Stegostoma tigrinum: one gene and its partner. The protein of the gene in region 1 interacts with the protein of each later gene in a biochemical or structural test. Links are inferred from orthologs where the notes say so. Each region holds a gene or a part of one and is shown in the gene's direction. Other genes may lie near its edges. The genes, in order: nr4a3 and homeobox protein SIX3.

Region 1 (8,756 bases):
GTTTCTATCTCCTTCCCAAAATCCACAAACCTGCCTGCCCCAGTCGACCCATTGTCTCAGCCTGTTCCTGCCCCACCGAACTCATCTCCACCTATCTGGACACCATTTTCTCCCCTTTGGTCCAGGAACTCCCTACGTACGTCCGTGACACCACCCACGCCCTCCACCTCTTCCAGAACCTCCAATTCCCTGGCCCCCAACACCTCATTTTCATCATGGACGTCCAGTCCCTATACACCCGTATTCCACATGCAGATGGCCTCAAGGCCCTCTGATTCTTCCTGTCCCGCAGGCCCGACCAGTCCCCCTCCACCGACACTCTCATCCGCCTAGCTGAACTCGTCCTCACCCTCAACAACTTCTCTTTTGATTCCTCCCACTTCCTACAAAGGGGGTGGCCATGGGCACCCGCATGGGCCCCATATATGCCTGCCTCTTTGTAGGTTACGTGGAACAGTTCCTCTTCCTCGCCTACACAGGCCCCAAACCCCACCTCTTCCTCCGTTACATTGATGACTGTATTGGTGCCGCCTCTTGCTCCCCAGAAGAGCTCAAACAGTTCATCCACTTCACCAACATCTTCCACCCCAACCTTCAGTTCACCTGGGCCATCTCCAGCACATCCCTCACCTTCCTGGACCTCTCAGTCTCCATCTCAGGCAACCAGCTTGTAACCGATGCCCATTTCAAGTCCACCGACTCCCACAGCTACCTAGAATACACCTCCTCCCACCCACCCTCCTGCAAAAATTCCATCCCCTATTCCTCCGCCTCCGCCGCATCCGCTCCCACGGTGAGGCATTCCACTCCCGGACATCCCAGATGTCCAAGTTCTTCAAGGACCGCAGCTTTCCCCCCACAGTGGTCGAGAACGCCCTTGACCGCGTCTCCCGCAACACAACCCTCACACCCCGCCCCCGCCACAACCGCCCAAAGATGATCCCCCTCATTCTCACACACCACCCCACCAACCTCCGGATACAACGCATCATCCTCCGACACTTCCGCCATCTACAATCCGACCCCACCACTCAAGCCATTTCTCCATCCCCACCCTTGTCTGCTTTCCAGAGAGACCACTCTCTCTGTGACTCCCTTGTTCGCTCCACACTGCCCTCCAACCCCACCACACCCAGCACCTTCCCCTGCAACCGCAGGAAATGCTACACTTGCCCCCACACCTCCTCCCTCACCCCACCCCAGGCCCCAAGATAACTTTCCATATTAAGCAGAGGTTCACCTGCACATCTGCCAATGTGGTATACTATATCCATTGTACCCGGTGTGGCTTCCTCTACATTGTGGAAACCAAGCGGAGGCTTGGGGACCGCTCTGCAGAACACCTCCGCTCGGTTCGCAATAAACAACTGCACCTCCCAGTCGCGAACCATTTCAACTCCCCCTCCCATTTTTTAGATGACAAGTCCATCATGGGCCTCCTGCAGTGCCACAATGATGCCACCCGAAGGTTGCAGGAACAGCAACTCATATTCTGCTTGGGAACCCTGCAGCCCAATGGTATCAATGTGGACTTCACCAGCTTCAAAATCTCCCCTTCCCCCAACGCATCCCAAAACCAGCCCAGTTCGTCCCCTCCCACCGCACTACACAACCAACCCAGCTCTTCTCCTCCACCCACTGCATCCCAAAACCAGCCCAGCCTGTCTCTGCCTCCCTAACCTGTTCTTCCTCTCACCCATCCCTTCCTCCCACCCCAAGCCGCACCTCAATTTCCTACCTACTAATCTCATGCCACCTCCTTGACCTGTCCGTCTTTCCTGGACTGACCTATCCCCTCCCTACCTATACTCTCCTCTCCACCTATCTTCTTTTCTCTGCATCTTCGGTCCGCCTCCCCCTCTCTCCCTATTTATTCCAGAATCTTCACCCCATCCCCCTCTCTGAAGAAGGGTCTAGGCCCGAAACGTCAGCTTTTGTGCTCCTGAGATGTTGCTTGGCCTGCTGTGTTCATCCAGCTTCACACTTTATTATCTTGGATTCTCCAGCATCTGCAGTTCCCATTATCTCATAACTACAGACAACTTGGTAATGCTGAAATACGGACATAGTCCTGTATGCAAGATGTGGGGAGTACCAGGAGTCAACGTCGCTGCTGCTGGCTCTACTTCCACAAAATAGATCAATAACTAATTAATTATCATAGATCGTAGAATCTCTAGTGCGGAAACAGGCCCTTTGGCCCAATGAGTCCATACTGACCCTCAGAGCACCCTACCCAGACCCATCCCCCTATAACCCACGGAATCTACACATCCCTGAACGTCATGGGCAATTTAGCATGGTCAATCCACCTAGCCTGCACATCTTTGGACTGTGGGAGGAAACTGGAGCACCCGGAGGAAACGCACAGATGATGTGAATGTACAAACTCCACACAGACAGCTGCCCAAAGGTGGGATCAAACCCAGGTCCCTGGTGCTGTGAGGCAGCAGTGCTAACCACTGAACCACTATGCCACCCATAATTAAATCTGAATGTGATTTTGTTAGGAAAGATCTTGTGGGACAAGTTCAAAGTAGGGCACTCAGCTGAGAGGTTAAAATTTGAAATCAAAACAGAAGCCTTCGCAGATTACACCTTGTTTGAAAAGAAAGAAAAAATATCTCACCTCAATTTATGAGGTGAATATTATTCTTGCAGAAATTGTGCATTTTCTGTTTTCAATCCTATCTTGGAATAGTGATTTTTAATCATTTGGTGCACATCAAAACTGGTACAATTTTCAGATAATCTTTCTACACTCCAAGTGACTACACTTCACCGGGCAGTTCTTTAGCTGCAAAGCACTTGAAGACATCCACAGGTCTTACAACAAATCTTAAATCATTTACACTAACCTAACAGTGTTACAATCATTAACTTTTCAGCATGACGTGAACTTTCTTATTCTGTAAGAGTGTTATGTAACTGCTCACATATGACTGCACGTGACCTTATATTTTTCTACTAACATGTTGTTGGTTGTCATCCATACCAAAAATCAGCAGGAAAAGAAAGCAAATAAAACTTAAATAGAAAATAAAAACAAATTATCCAACTCAGAAAATTACTGCAATATACTTACATTTAGGTATGATCATGATTGATGTCATTTGAACCACTTAGACAAGCAGCTTGCTGCTGCTCTCACGCCTCCAAAGAGAGTTCGGAATATAAAAGCAGAATTTATCATTTAAAGCTCAATACTGCTCATCTCTTCACCACACTGTTGAAATCTTGCCTTGCGGCAATCTGTACTAAATGAAGTGCCAAACTGTGTTGGCAATAGAAAGCAGTGACAAACTGTTTTGTTGGCTTTATCCATCAAGACATCCTATGGAAACTATACTCCTAGTTTATTAAGAAACATGTTTGGTGTTTTCTTAGTTCTGATGCTAGGAGCACATCTAGTGACATTCATTTTACTTTCCAAAACGTTCCCAAGGTATAAAAGTGGAATAGGCATACAATTATATTGAAATGCATTAGTTGTGCAACTTTTACACATGAAAAAATTGCAAGCATTTGTACTTTTTCAACAGTTTATTTGCGGATTTATTATTCATAAGTGCTGCAAACAGATCACTAGAGCAAGTCGCATAAATAGTGGGTTCAGAAATATAATGCTTCTTACTGGGGTTCATCTGTAGGGAAAGGGAAAGAAAAGCGTTTTTAAAATAATCTTTATAATAAAGACTACAACAAGCTGATCAGAATAAAACACTCGAGCGTTATACTCACCACAAAAATCTACAGCAGTTTTATACACACACGTGTGCAGTTTTTAGCCTGATGTAGAGCACATTTTGTAAAGAGATTATTTCTCCTTTAGGCCGTTCAGTGGGGAAAATACCATTCTTTTAATGTGGGGTGGATTTTTTTAAAATCAGGAGTAAAGTTTGTATAATGTAAACATTTATGTAAAATTGTAATTCCCAGAATAAAGGTCTAAACTCTGTTTTTGGAACGAAGGCCGGAACTAACCTCGTGCAGACTGCGTGCCTGCGTCATCAGACGTCTCCTGATTTTGAACACGCTCCTTTACGTAATCCGCGCGTGTGCGTAATAGGAACGTTCCCTTCCGTCTGCCTATTTATAAAGTGGAACAAGGGTTCACCACCTCCCTCCCTCCGGATCACTCATTCACCTGCCAATAGCCTCAGGCGCTGCGGTAAAGCTGCCAAACCGCGACGCTTCCTGAATAACACTCCCCACGAATTGGTCAACCGCTTAATGTAATAATGGAATTAAAACACAAACACTTTTTTTTCCAAACAAAAAATTTCACTTCAAAACAAAAAGCGGAACATCCCATGAAGCAACATCTAGAACGTAGTAAATCTCCACAGCATTTGAAAAAAATACGTAAGGCGTTAGTGCGTAATAAATTTGTGAAAGCAAAGGCGTTTTGGCAAAGTTACAAGAATGTGTCTATTGTTCAAATAATTAAATGGGTGGAATCTAAAACTTTAACATTCAATAAATTCCCCAATGTAAGATTTATTCCAACTTCCGTTTTCCAATTGCTTTCAAAAATAGGTGCATAGGTTTCCCAGCATTGAGACCAAGCTAATTATGTTTCAATAGTAGATATACTTCTGTAATAAAATGATAAAAACTGAACGAAGCATAATAACAAAAAGGGACGCGATAAATAAACATCAAACTGTACTACCGTTTAAATCCAAACACTCACATTTCCAAGTATTGTACGAGAATTCGGTTATCATAATGAAATTAACATAATCATTATTCCACTAGTCGCTGCAATCTGTAATTAGGTTACGTTAAAAAAAGTATTTCTGAACATTAACAAAACGAGATTGCTACGACTAAAAATACCTATCAACAACTATATTTGGTTTCACTGGATCACAAAATAGTTCCTAAAATAAACGGTACGCCCCAGAAATGAATGAGATCTGTGTTATCTCAATCGATGGATTGGCCCAGAGTTGCTAAATTTAGCTCCTGCTTGCGTCAATGACGTGCGTCAGCGGGGCGCTCTCACGCGCACAAGTTCCAGACCGCCCCCTCCCCGGCCGCGCCTAACTTCCCGCGTTCCTATTGGTCCACAATCACGGGGAGAGGGACCGAGGGGTGTGGTCGTGACGATCGCAGAGGGGAAGGGGCGTGGTGTTCCATCGCCAATGGCGCGAGACGATTGGGCGTCCAGATGCAATGACGCGCCGACGCGGGGTTCATAAATGACAATAAAACAGAGAGCGGAGAGCGAAGCGCACTGTTCTCTTTACGCTGTCTACCACTTGTGAGCGACCACGCCGCGGCTGTACACGCACGAGCACGGGGCGCGCGACCAAGAGCACAGCCCGAGACTGGGAGAAGAGCAGACACAATAAAAGCCAGCTGACGTGCCGTGCCGCCGCGTGACGTGACGGCCCGGCAGCGTCACAATTGACGTCGCCTGCATTCCAGCCGCTCTATGGAGATACCGGCGATCGTCCAATAGGAGAGTAGCTCTTGCCAATCTCCCCACCCACCTTCCCTTAAACATAAATGACGTTCACAAAGTGAGGAATCTGTTATCTGTCTGCACATAAACAAAGGCACATTGCAATCGGAGGAGAGACCTACAAATAGAAGGAGGGCTAAAGAAGACTTTCTCGCACTTTTCCTCCATTGATGAACTCGCATTAAGAGGAAGGATCCGAATCTGCACTACAACTAAATCATTTACCGGGAGTGATATTTTAAAGACAAGTTTCTCTGTACAATATCCATGATTTGGACTGGACGCCTCTACGCGGCTTGGACGGCTATTTGATTATATGTAAAAACGGAACCGTCACAGCAATCAAGTACGTATCAATCAGTTACTCACTGGACATCATGAAAGTTACAATGGGTATGCTCTCGAACCAGTGACTACAATTCAATGAGCTATAGTGATGTTTTGTGTGAACGCTGGTTGGAACATGCTTCAGAACTTGTGCTTTGATGCCTGTTCCTTGTGTCTTGAGAATTTATGGGTTAATCAGCGGCTTTGAGTTGTGTGACAATTGGAGATCAGCGGGTATTAAGGTATTTCTGGTAGTTGTCATGGTAATGTAATACTGCAGGCGCTGTGCTTGCAATGATGTGGTGAATAGATGCGATTTGTCTTGCACTTGTCTGGATGTATAATTAGCTACGTTCGAGTGAAAGTGTATAGTTATTTAGTGTCCATTTGACTTCACTGCAGTCGCATTTTGAAGGGGGTATGCTACTGAGTATGTTTTTAAGTTGAAATGCAGCGCGTTGGAATGGTATTAGTGTTGATTATCCGTCTGCACGTCTGTTCGCGATCCAAGCTAGGGATATTCGGAGTTTCAGTTAAGAAATAACCACGTCTAATTGCGCACTCTGATGACCTAACACGTGTGATCATTTAAGATGCTGGACCTAGTCTTGGCTTAAAATGCATTTTTGCAATTCTTTTATTAATAGTTTCACTTTCAGAAGCGAATCTGTTTTACTTTTTGTTCAGTAATCATCAGTAGTAGAGAGTGCGACACGTTCTCATACGTACATGTGTGTAACTGTGTACCTAGGTATTTACAATGGAATTTTCAACAGAATTGCTTAAAAGTGCGTTCGCACTTTAGTCGTGGAACGGGAATGTGCTCCGCGCGGGAGAGTAACAGTTCAAGCCCAAAATTGCCAGTGGAATGTATAAACCTCACTGTTCTGAGGCGGCGCCGAGCGAGGGGTGACTTGACACCGGCTAGTTTGTAAATTTGGGAAAGTTCTGACCACGGTCACAAGTCGATTTCGAAGGGTGATATCTGCTGAGATTTCTGTGAACAAAACCTCGCCGTAGCAAATTCTTACCTCTCTATAGTAAACTATAATCTTTCATTCCATCTTTCACTTAACCATTGCGGCGATTTTGACATGTTCCTGTGAAATTACAAAAATATTTCCTTTTTAGTGGTAAGGTGTCTGATATATGGCGTCTCCAATAATTGTCTGTACTGCCCTAACTAGGTTCGATCCTGACTTGTATAGCTGGTGCCAACAAGTGTTGCTGTCGAAACATCCAGTGCTCAGTGCATTGTGTCGCTTTAATATCATTAAAGCGTATCTCTTTTTCGTAATTTTCTTTATCTACCCCGTACTGTCATGGGCGATGAATTCCGACTTGAGTTGTCGCCGAAAGTGGTTGAGAGGAGAGTGGTTTTCTTCAATAAATTCACACTAAATTAAAACTCCCCACAGTTGATGTTCTGTCTGACTGTGTGTGGAAGATAGGGCGGCCGGTAATAAGGCGGATGTTTAAAGAGACATCGCATGTTCTCTAGGTAACCAGCTGATTTTGAGCATTCACCCCTCAGCGGGAATAATGTGCAAACGAGTTAACTGCGGAAGCTAAGCAACTTGGTTGTCAAATGTAGCCTTGCAAAACATTAGTTTTAATTAAAAGCGTGAGTCCACACAAGAGATCTTAATACTTAGACCACTTCTAAAAGTGAAACGGAAAGATATTCGGAAAACAGGTCTTTCCCTCTTGGTGCAAGATGTAAAAGTGTAAAGATGACCACGACACAGTGTAAACAAGAACTCGGCACTTCTGCAGGTTTAGGCTGTTTCTTCCCCAGCCCCTCCCTGTTTCTGTTCAGTGGAACCCCCGGGAGTGAAGTGGCTGTGACCATTTCTTTCCGATGGCAGGGACAGAGTTGTCCGAAAACGCCTTCTCTCTGTTTCCTACCTGACTCAACGCCAGAATAAAGCTCCGAAGTGTGTCTCGGATTATGAACGTCCGGTTAACTGTGACATTGTAGAACTGCATTTTCCAAGTGTAAATATAAACTTTCATGTTTGCGGGGAGTGGGGTACCCGAGATTAAAGGCAGCTGTTTTAGCCACGATCTCCAACTGGGTTATGACTAGTAGATCATATCACGTCTTATAAATGTCACAATAAAGGGGGCAGAGGATCATGACTTAATTCCAAATCTAAAACAATTTAATGTTGATTGTGAGGTAGCACCGTTTGAGCATTTTTAGGAAAGATCTGATCTACAAGCAACAGTTCAATGGAGTTTTCACTATGCCAAAACCTTCACACCGTTTTGAGGTTAATACCATTTCTGGGGAGTTAAAGTAACTTTATATAAAGTTTTTATCCCCCGAGTGGCAGACGGATTAAATGCATTTCAGAGGGGGCGCTGCAGCCCAACTGCTGGACTCCTTGAATTGGGCAAATTATAGCGCAAATGAATTGATCCGCCTTGAGCGTGCATTAGTAGAGCGCCAGGTGATCTCAAAGCATGTGGGCAAGTCCCGGTGTCCATCTTGACATCATGTGGGGCAAGTGTCATTGAACCTAATACAAGTGTGAATTGTCAAGACTCCGGGCAGTCCCGGAGCGCCTCCGACATGCTAGATAAAAATGTGGAGGGCAGCACGTACAAACGCGACTCCCAAGGCATCGCTCTCTAACTCAGCCCGAGCTGAGGGTCAGTAACCCCGGGTCCAACGCTGCATCGCATTGCCCGCACTGGACCATCCACCGGGTGAAGAGTGAGTTGTTTCCATTCGGTTTCGCTTACACGGTCCTAACGCATGAGACCGGGTTTTGTGTCCTAAACCTTTGACATTCCAGGTACATTTGATGTGGTAATTTTCGTGGCATATATTTGTTTCAAATTTATATTTTCGCGGCTATTAACGATTGTGTACAACCCGCACGCTTCTTTTTTGATGGGGTGTTCCATTATGCCATCCTGACTTTTTTCTTTTTTTGGGGAGAGGAAG
Region 2 (8,365 bases), on another chromosome or scaffold:
TTTTGACTAAAGCAGATTGAAATGTCAAGCCGACTGACCAATGAGCCATGATAGCACCATATGATATTATATTGGATTCAGTGCTTTTATTCCTGTAACTAATTCGTTTTGACACATACGCATAACCCGGTAGCAGGAAACCCAGCGTTCACCTTTCACCTCCTCCTCCTCCTCCCAGCAACTTCAGCCACCCTCGCACCACCGCCAGCTCCAGACCCCCTCCCCCGCCCCCACAAACAAAAACTGCTGGGTTTGCAGGGCTAGGACGTACATCTTTGTTCAATTCATTAGAAGTAACGGATTGACATAAGGTAAATCTACGGTAAAGCGCCTTTATTTCTTGCCTATGGAGCGACCTCATTAAATATCGCTAACAAGGCGTGCAAATCTCCTGATTGGACAGTCCTCTTGCAACACTCTGTCCCTTGCAGGGCGTGCACTTAATAAAGGCCACATGGAAAATAACTGGCAAGAAATTCCAAGTGTCCTTACAAACAGACTAGGAAGTCTTTCAACACACAATCTGATGCCTGCCGCCCTTCTCACTATCAACTGTGCATCCGGCGCTCAACTGAGGCAGCGACCGGTCGATTGAAACAGTTGTTTCAGCTGACACAGTTGTTGAAACTGCGAGAACAAATGGTTCCTTCTAACTCCCTAATATTTCCTTGTTTACATCCTTAAGCGTTCTTACACCACTGTCAACATATTAAGATTCAAATTGCAAATACCCTCACAGTTTTTTTTACGTTTTGCAGAGCGAACAATTCATTCTTTCCAACCTGTTCGCTTGGCGTATCCGCGTGATTATATTTAAACTATGACCAACTCTTAATGCAAACTTCGAGAAGCCAGCGGATTTGTAATGTTCACACACAGATCCTTCACTGTGATATATTGACGGGGGGTTGGGGGGTGGGGAAGACTGGTCAAGTTTGCATAGTTCCGGCGGTTAAAACTTCACGTCATTACCCCTTGGTCCAGATAGACCAGCGCAATTTCAAATTGGAACTTATCGTCCTCAATTCATAAGGGACGGTAAACGCCTCTGATGTTTAACTGTTTTTTGTTGAATCTTAGTGGATTAACATTAATGGCGCAGGTGGGGAGGTGGAATTGGTTTGCACTTCATTGGAACGACTTGCTGTAGACCCCAAATTTCCGAATACTGTGCTATTCACATCCTTAATTTGAACGTTTATGCAGAGAAAGAAACTCGGAATGGAAGAGAGAGCTGTCATGCACTTAACTACGCGACTACTTCCTGATTACGTAAAAGTCAGTGTGAAGTAAACCAGTACCCTCTTTGAACAATATATAAAGAAACGGTTAACAACGCCAGATAATAAATAAGATCTATGATTCTATCTCTAATATGAGGGCTACAAATTTTCAATATCATTCGAGTTTATTGATGCTCGTTTTTGGAGAAATTATATGCTCCATTTCGGTCTCCATTTAAATTAAAATAATTTGGTTGCATTTGAGCGGGTTCTTATCTGACTGCTTGTTTTTAATCAATCTCAGGTGCAAAGGCGATCTGATTTATCTGTGAAATTTACAATCCCATGGCCCAAAAGAATGAAGCCCATATAAATCCATGCAAACTATTGCTTCTAACCGAATATCATGTATACAGTTAACTCAGTTAAATCATGACGCAGCTACTGTAATACGAATGGATCAGGTACAATAAAATCAACAATGCAAGCAAAACTAAATAAAATCATGTACGCAATTCACTTCAGCATTGAGGATGGAGGACAGACTGTATTGGCAGTCGATAAATCTGAGCTGTTCGTGCCCCGTCTTGGCAATGAATATAGCGTCAAGCAAAAAGGCCCAGCGGAGCTCACATTTAACCGGCCACCTTAAAGAGACAAGGTCAACGCAGGAGGAAAGAGTAGAGGAAACAGTAGTAGAGGATGTAAAACAAAATGGAAATTTAACAAGTAACGCCAAACAAAACTGAACAAAGGCGAAAGTAAAGGGTCGAATCTATTTGCTACATCAATACCGATAATGGCGACATGACAATACCAAAAATAATCACCAATGAATAAGCCAATTCCCCACCTTGCAAGGGGTAACTAAAACGTCTCCGAAAGCATTACGTTATATATTGGATTAGAGAAGAGAACAACATAGAATAAGTTCAATCTTTGCAGCAGATTTATTAATAGTTAACATATTCTAAGTCAAATTAACCGACCCAACTGATTAAACTCATAAACGGCTTACTTTATGTATACAGAGCCAACATTATATGAACTGGCCCACACTTAGGTATCTTTTTCATGTGTAAACTTGCACGGTTGATCAAACAACGCTGTATTATAACGTTCCATGTAAATCAGTTAAATCTGAAAATGGTTTGAGATTTTTCACAATCCAACTTTAATCATACGTTATGCAAAGCAGTGAGACACAACGGCCTCAACAAAAGCGGAAATCATTCCAATAAAACAGAAACTTACAGGAGCCTGAAAGGCTTCTCCGGGGAAAGAGACCTGGACCTTTCCGGATGCTGATCTGTCACTTTGTATAATTGCAGCATTTCTTAATAATTGTGATTTTTGTTTCGCTATTGCTTTCTTTTCGGGGAGGATACAGTTGCACGAGCCGGACAGGGCTCAGAGCTTTGAATGAAGCTGTTTCATAGACGGTCACTGCTCCAAACGGCAGCGGCCAGCTGCCCGTCATTAAAAAGCCATTTACACCCTGTACTCTTCACACAAAGATTGAGCGAATAATTATGTGCTTGTAGCTTTACTATGTGAATGTCTCTCGAATAGGCTCTGAAAACAGCGCACATCATTGCTTTTATTCCTAGCACCTGCATTTGTATATACTATATAGACATCTATGTTACAGAGAGAGAAGGAATCATATTGTACATTTTCATCTTTTTCCTTTGTTTTGCGCGGGGCAGAAAATAAATGGCAACACCTACCATTCAAACTGATTTCTGTTCAGATACATTGATGACTGCCCGTAAGACTGTAGGATAGAATTTACTAGGAGTCCTCTTTTTAAAGGTGCTCATCTGTGGTGAGTGAAATTTCTGAAGCTTCCCGTATACCTGAAAAAAAGAAACAAATACATAAATGTAGATTGCCGCGGACTTCACAGGGTTAACCTATAGGGATATTAATCCAACATTTTAGAAGCATTTTCCTAAACTTTCCTTTCTCTCTTTTGTTTTGCGAAGCAATGAACGAAAATTAAAGTGATTATAAAAGTAGAGATTATGCTGCTAGAAGCTTGCCTCTTTCTATGTTTTCTCTGAATGAAACAATTTAGGGCATTTAAATGGGCGTAGATGATACTTTTTAATAGAAATCTACAGCGAATGTGTAATAGAGCATCGCCGTTTCCAGTTGAACAACCTTCCCAACTGGACCTATTCATGTGCCACTTGGAATTACTTCATGCGGAGTGCGCTATGACAGGACCGCAAACAGTTTGCAGTCCATTAAAGAACCCATACCACCCATTAGCGTTATTATCTTTGTGCACAGCAAATTCGCTCTCTGTTTCCCTTTTTAATTGCAATATCTTTTTTCACCGGGACCTGGAAAGCAGATTGGGTACATAACCGTTCGCCTCGCGATTTTTTTTCGAAATCCATTGGAATGTGGAAGAGACCAGAGAAGGAAAAAAGTTTTGAATTCTTCAATGATTTTTTTTACCCCGTAGAAAGGCGGCTTAGGATAATTATTTCAGCTTTATTGAGGGCAGATTAGTTGAAGTCTGGATGCTGCGTTTCAATACGCGTTGTACAATCCGGTACAATGTCTGTATTGTTCGCTACTGTGTGTGAACCCATTCAAAATATACACTTTTTAACACCAAGCAAAGTCGTGTCTAAATATACACAGTAAGGCTGGAAAGACATCCATGACCCGTACAAATCTTTGTAAATCACACTTCCATAGTTACAGAAGCCAAACAAAAAAGCCACCGGCTCAAGATGTTGATTAAACCTTCTTAAAGGCGAACATACCTAATGGTAGAATACAGTTGCACGTTAGCAACGGCCAGCAGAGCTCCCAGCACCAGGACCGATGGAATAAAAAAAATTAAAACGCAACGCGTTATTCCAGCCACTGAAAGCCAATGATTCAAACTGAAATAGTCTTTTTTTCTGGAAGAAGGGATATAAATTAACTTCTACCTGCAGTCTATCCACGTCCGGTCCATGGATCCCCAAATAGCCCTATCTGTGCGAAGTCTTTAACTCAAGCTGCAATGATGCACAGCCAGTGCCATGACGATGTACAGTGTTATTACTGCACGCTACACTTCAAATGGGCTTCGGATTGGCAATTATGCTATTAATTAACAAGAGTTATGGTCACGGAGAAAGCGCAGTGCTGAAGGCAGATTAAAAAATCTCCTTATACAAACACAGTCATGACATGTATATGGGTCTAATGATCTCATTTTTCCTTTATTCCCCAGCCCTATTAATGCTCATACCGGCAGAATGAAGTGAAACTACGTGCAAATCATGTCTAAACTGTCTCAGTGAGGAGCCCTCGATTCCACCGTGTCTTTTAGGCTGTCCCATTTACTTTCGCCCCGTCTTCCAACCTTAACAAGGTTCGTTAAGATCGCGGTAATATTTCCCATCCTCTAATTACTCGTCCCACTTAGCAAATCAGAGCGCGGAGGCTTTCACATTTGAACTTTTCAAGAGGTAGGTGGGCGACGCTGAGATTCATTTCAGATAACCCCCACGCAGTGCAAAAGTGGTGAAAGCCTCTACGTTCTGCTGGTTGATTGGCACGTTTGACAGTGATTGACAGCGGCGCCATGGCAACGCTACAACGACACCGCCAAGACCAATAGAAAAAGCGAAAAAAAAACCAGTGCTCCACACAGTATTTTGGGGATATAATATGAGGAAGTGTGACACTAGGCGATTTCGTTGCATCTGACACGTTTTTGTGTTTTTTTTTAATATTAAAAATCACCAAGTCAGTCCATGGTGTTCAGGTCCCAGTTCGAGCTGTATAGCGCCTTCCCCCTTCTACCAAACTCAGCCGAGCGCGCTTTTCTCCTCTTAGCCAGCTCCCGGCCCCAAGAAGAGTTGTCAATGTTCCAGCTACCGACCATCAATTTCACTCCGGAGCAAGTGGCCAGCGTCTGTGAGACGCTGGAGGAGACGGGCGACATCGAGAGATTGGGACGCTTTCTCTGGTCTTTACCTGTGGCGCCGGGGGCATGCGAGGCGATCAACAAGCACGAATCGATCCTCCGAGCCCGGGCGGTCGTGGCCTTCCACACGGGCAACTTCCGAGACTTGTACCACATCCTGGAGAACCACAAGTTCACCAAGGAGTCCCACGGCAAGCTGCAGGCGATGTGGCTCGAAGCGCACTACCAGGAGGCCGAGAAGTTGAGGGGTCGCCCTCTGGGACCAGTCGACAAGTACCGTGTCCGCAAGAAGTTCCCCCTGCCCAGGACCATTTGGGACGGCGAGCAAAAAACTCACTGTTTCAAGGAGAGGACGCGCAGCTTGTTGCGAGAGTGGTACTTGCAGGACCCATACCCAAACCCTTCCAAAAAAAGGGAACTGGCCCAAGCAACCGGTCTGACCCCGACACAAGTGGGAAATTGGTTTAAAAACCGCAGGCAGAGAGACAGAGCGGCGGCCGCCAAAAACAGGTCGGTGGGTTTTTTTTCCAGGTTACCCTTCTGCCAACTACTCAAATTGGCATGTAAATATTAAAGAAACTCAGGAAACCTTCATCAAAACGCAGTAAATAAAATCACGAGATAAAACGTTGTTTAAATGTTGCACAGCATTTTTTATGAATAAAGTAACATGCTCATCCAGAATGCTGACTGAAACAAAATAAAATCTCAGGGCAAACGTTTTAAGCAATTCAGCAAATGAACAAAATTACAGTGTAATGGTCAATATTGGGAAGGTGTTACTGGACGGTGTAAGAATCTTTTTTAAGAAATATTCGAAGTATCAGTTATAAAATAGGATCACAACTGACCACAGATTCAACAGTATAAATTCCATTAAACGATCACCAATCGCAATTTCATGAAAACAACATCTATAAAAAAACTTCTGTAAAATAACCCCAATTTGTGAAAGAAGCTCAAATTAAAGACAGTCTAACTAATAGTACAATTTACTGGAATCAATGAGAGAAAGTGATGCCTTTACTCACTATAGTGATGGGTAACGAGATAATTATTTGGACAAAATTTAACTTAAATACATTAAATGTATTTTTGTTTGGTTCAGAAACAGACTCAAGGTTTCCTGTAATGTCAATGGGCATAAATGTGCCTGGTTTTATGAAATGCTTTCATTTGTAGCCAAGAGAAATTGAACTATCAGAGAATGTGGAGTAACTTCCGGGAGACTGCAAATTCCTGCTTTAGGTAAAAGGACACACAAATCAACAATTGTTTACTCTCTCAAACCAAAGTAAGCACATTTGAATTGAGATGAATAACACGATCATCTTGCGCTCAGTCATTGAAAAATATGCAAACGCTATATTTCGCACCATGAATTGAGAAGTCCCATCCTGAATACAATGCTAGACCAGTCCACGACAATTGAAGTTCTTTGGATATTTGACTGAAGTTTATGTGCCAATGAGTTTGTCAATACTACTTTAAGCTTCTGAAAAGTTATTGGGTACCCACCTCAATATTTGAGATACCTTAACTCTTCAAATACGATAAAGACGGCGTACTTGGCGGGGGTTCAAACCAATAAAGGACATTATTTACTTTGCAGGCGATAGCAATATCTTTTTATCCAAAGTAAACACATACTGTTTGACTTGCTAACATTCAAAGTCTCTCTAAGCAATTCAAGTTAACATGGTAAATATCGCCAGAGTACAGTTTAAGCACAGGAATTGGGAATAACTTGAAGCATCGTTTTAGCAAGCGGGCTGCAATAAGATGCACCGATAAGACCGCATTCTAACTTGTCTTTCGAGGAGCACTTTCCCCAGCAGCAATACAATGAAACGCGCGCTAAACTTGAAGACAATACAGAGTGCAATTGTTACCAACTAAATACAGATTTCGGTTCGGTCAGTTTCTGAACATTATGCTAAGTGAAACCGACAAACAAATTGCAACAACAATGCTGATTGAACGGCCGTATCTGATATGTGAACTCCACCAAATTTTAAACAATTACTATTTTATTATTCTAAAAAAAGCTATTCGTGCCCATGGAACTCCCGATTATTGCAATTTTGCTGCATATTTAACGATGTTTAGTTTTTCAACAGTACAAGGTTTAAATTGCTTTTTAATAACTTTATTTGTTTCAGTGATTTCTTGGTCTTCCAAAGTAACGATCCATGAGGAATATTTAATAATTCTGTTTTGATTTGTGAATCCCTACCTCCCTCCCTCCTCAACTCTCTTTCTTTTGTTTGTCTCGGACAGGCTGCAACATCAGGCAGTGGGACAGAGCGGGGTTTGTACGCTTTCGGAGCCGGGCTGCCCTGCTCACAGCGCGGCGGAATCTCCGTCCACAGCCGCCAGCCCTACTACCAGCGTGTCGAGCATGACAGAGCGAGCCGAGACGGCCACGTCCATTCTCTCGGTAACCTCTAGCGACAGTGAATGTGATGTATGATACAAAAACAAAACAAACTCTTAATGCATTCACGAAGGACTATGGACCTGAGATTTAAAAAAAAGACATTTAATGAACATTTTTAAGAAAAAGAGACAAACAAAAAAACACATTCGTGAAGGAAAAAAAGTGACAGTTTAAAAAAAAATCAAATCTAAGACAAGCACGTCTGATCCAGCGCTTTCCATGGAGCCACCCGACTTGCATGATGTATTTTATATCTGGGAAAGTAATAATCTACGTTAATATTTTTTACAAGGATCTACAAGGAAGAGGGAATGAGAGAATCTTCGTCGCCTTTGTTGCTCTCTATAGTCCGAGTGCTGGTCAGACCCCCGAAGCCAGGCTGAGAGTCGTTTTTCTGTTCCGCAGACAATCATTTTTCGTAAGCACCTTTTTCTACACTTCTGTTACTGCCTGTGTGGGTACTGGTTATGTGGAAGAATAGTTATGACTGTAACAGATTTTTATTTTTTATTTCAAAATTTTATATGAATTATGTATATCTAATGACGCGATCATTCTCCCAGTTTGTAATATATGTGTAGAAATGCCTGTATATGATATTGCTTTTTTTTCTTTCTTTCTGTCTCGATTACAGACTCAGTGTTCTTGCATATTGTGTCAAACGTCTGACGAAAGTACTAGGTTCTTAAGAAAGTGGGGAGGGTGGGGCGATATCCAACTAGATAAATCTAGTGCGATGTAATTTTATGCAAAGTGCTATTT

The links.
Region 2: the proteins of nr4a3 (region 1) and homeobox protein SIX3 form a complex in vitro, tested with the Homo sapiens proteins (3 studies listed by BioGRID). The link is inferred for Stegostoma tigrinum from reciprocal best matches to the Homo sapiens genes NR4A3 and SIX3.

Annotation. Positions count from the first base shown.
Region 1 is NC_081355.1:90,008,883-90,017,638, reverse strand, and holds the start of nr4a3 (nuclear receptor subfamily 4 group A member 3), read left to right. Parts: upstream 1-5,188; 5' UTR 5,189-5,819; intron 5,820-6,221; exon of another isoform or gene 6,222-6,230; intron 6,231-8,756. UniProt on the Homo sapiens protein: Transcriptional activator that binds to regulatory elements in promoter regions in a cell- and response element (target)-specific manner.
Region 2 is NC_081362.1:70,385,632-70,393,996, reverse strand, and holds the start of homeobox protein SIX3, read left to right. Parts: upstream 1-4,898; 5' UTR 4,899-4,990; coding exon 4,991-5,673; intron 5,674-7,443; coding exon 7,444-7,636; 3' UTR 7,637-8,365. UniProt on the Homo sapiens protein: Transcriptional regulator which can act as both a transcriptional repressor and activator by binding a ATTA homeodomain core recognition sequence on these target genes.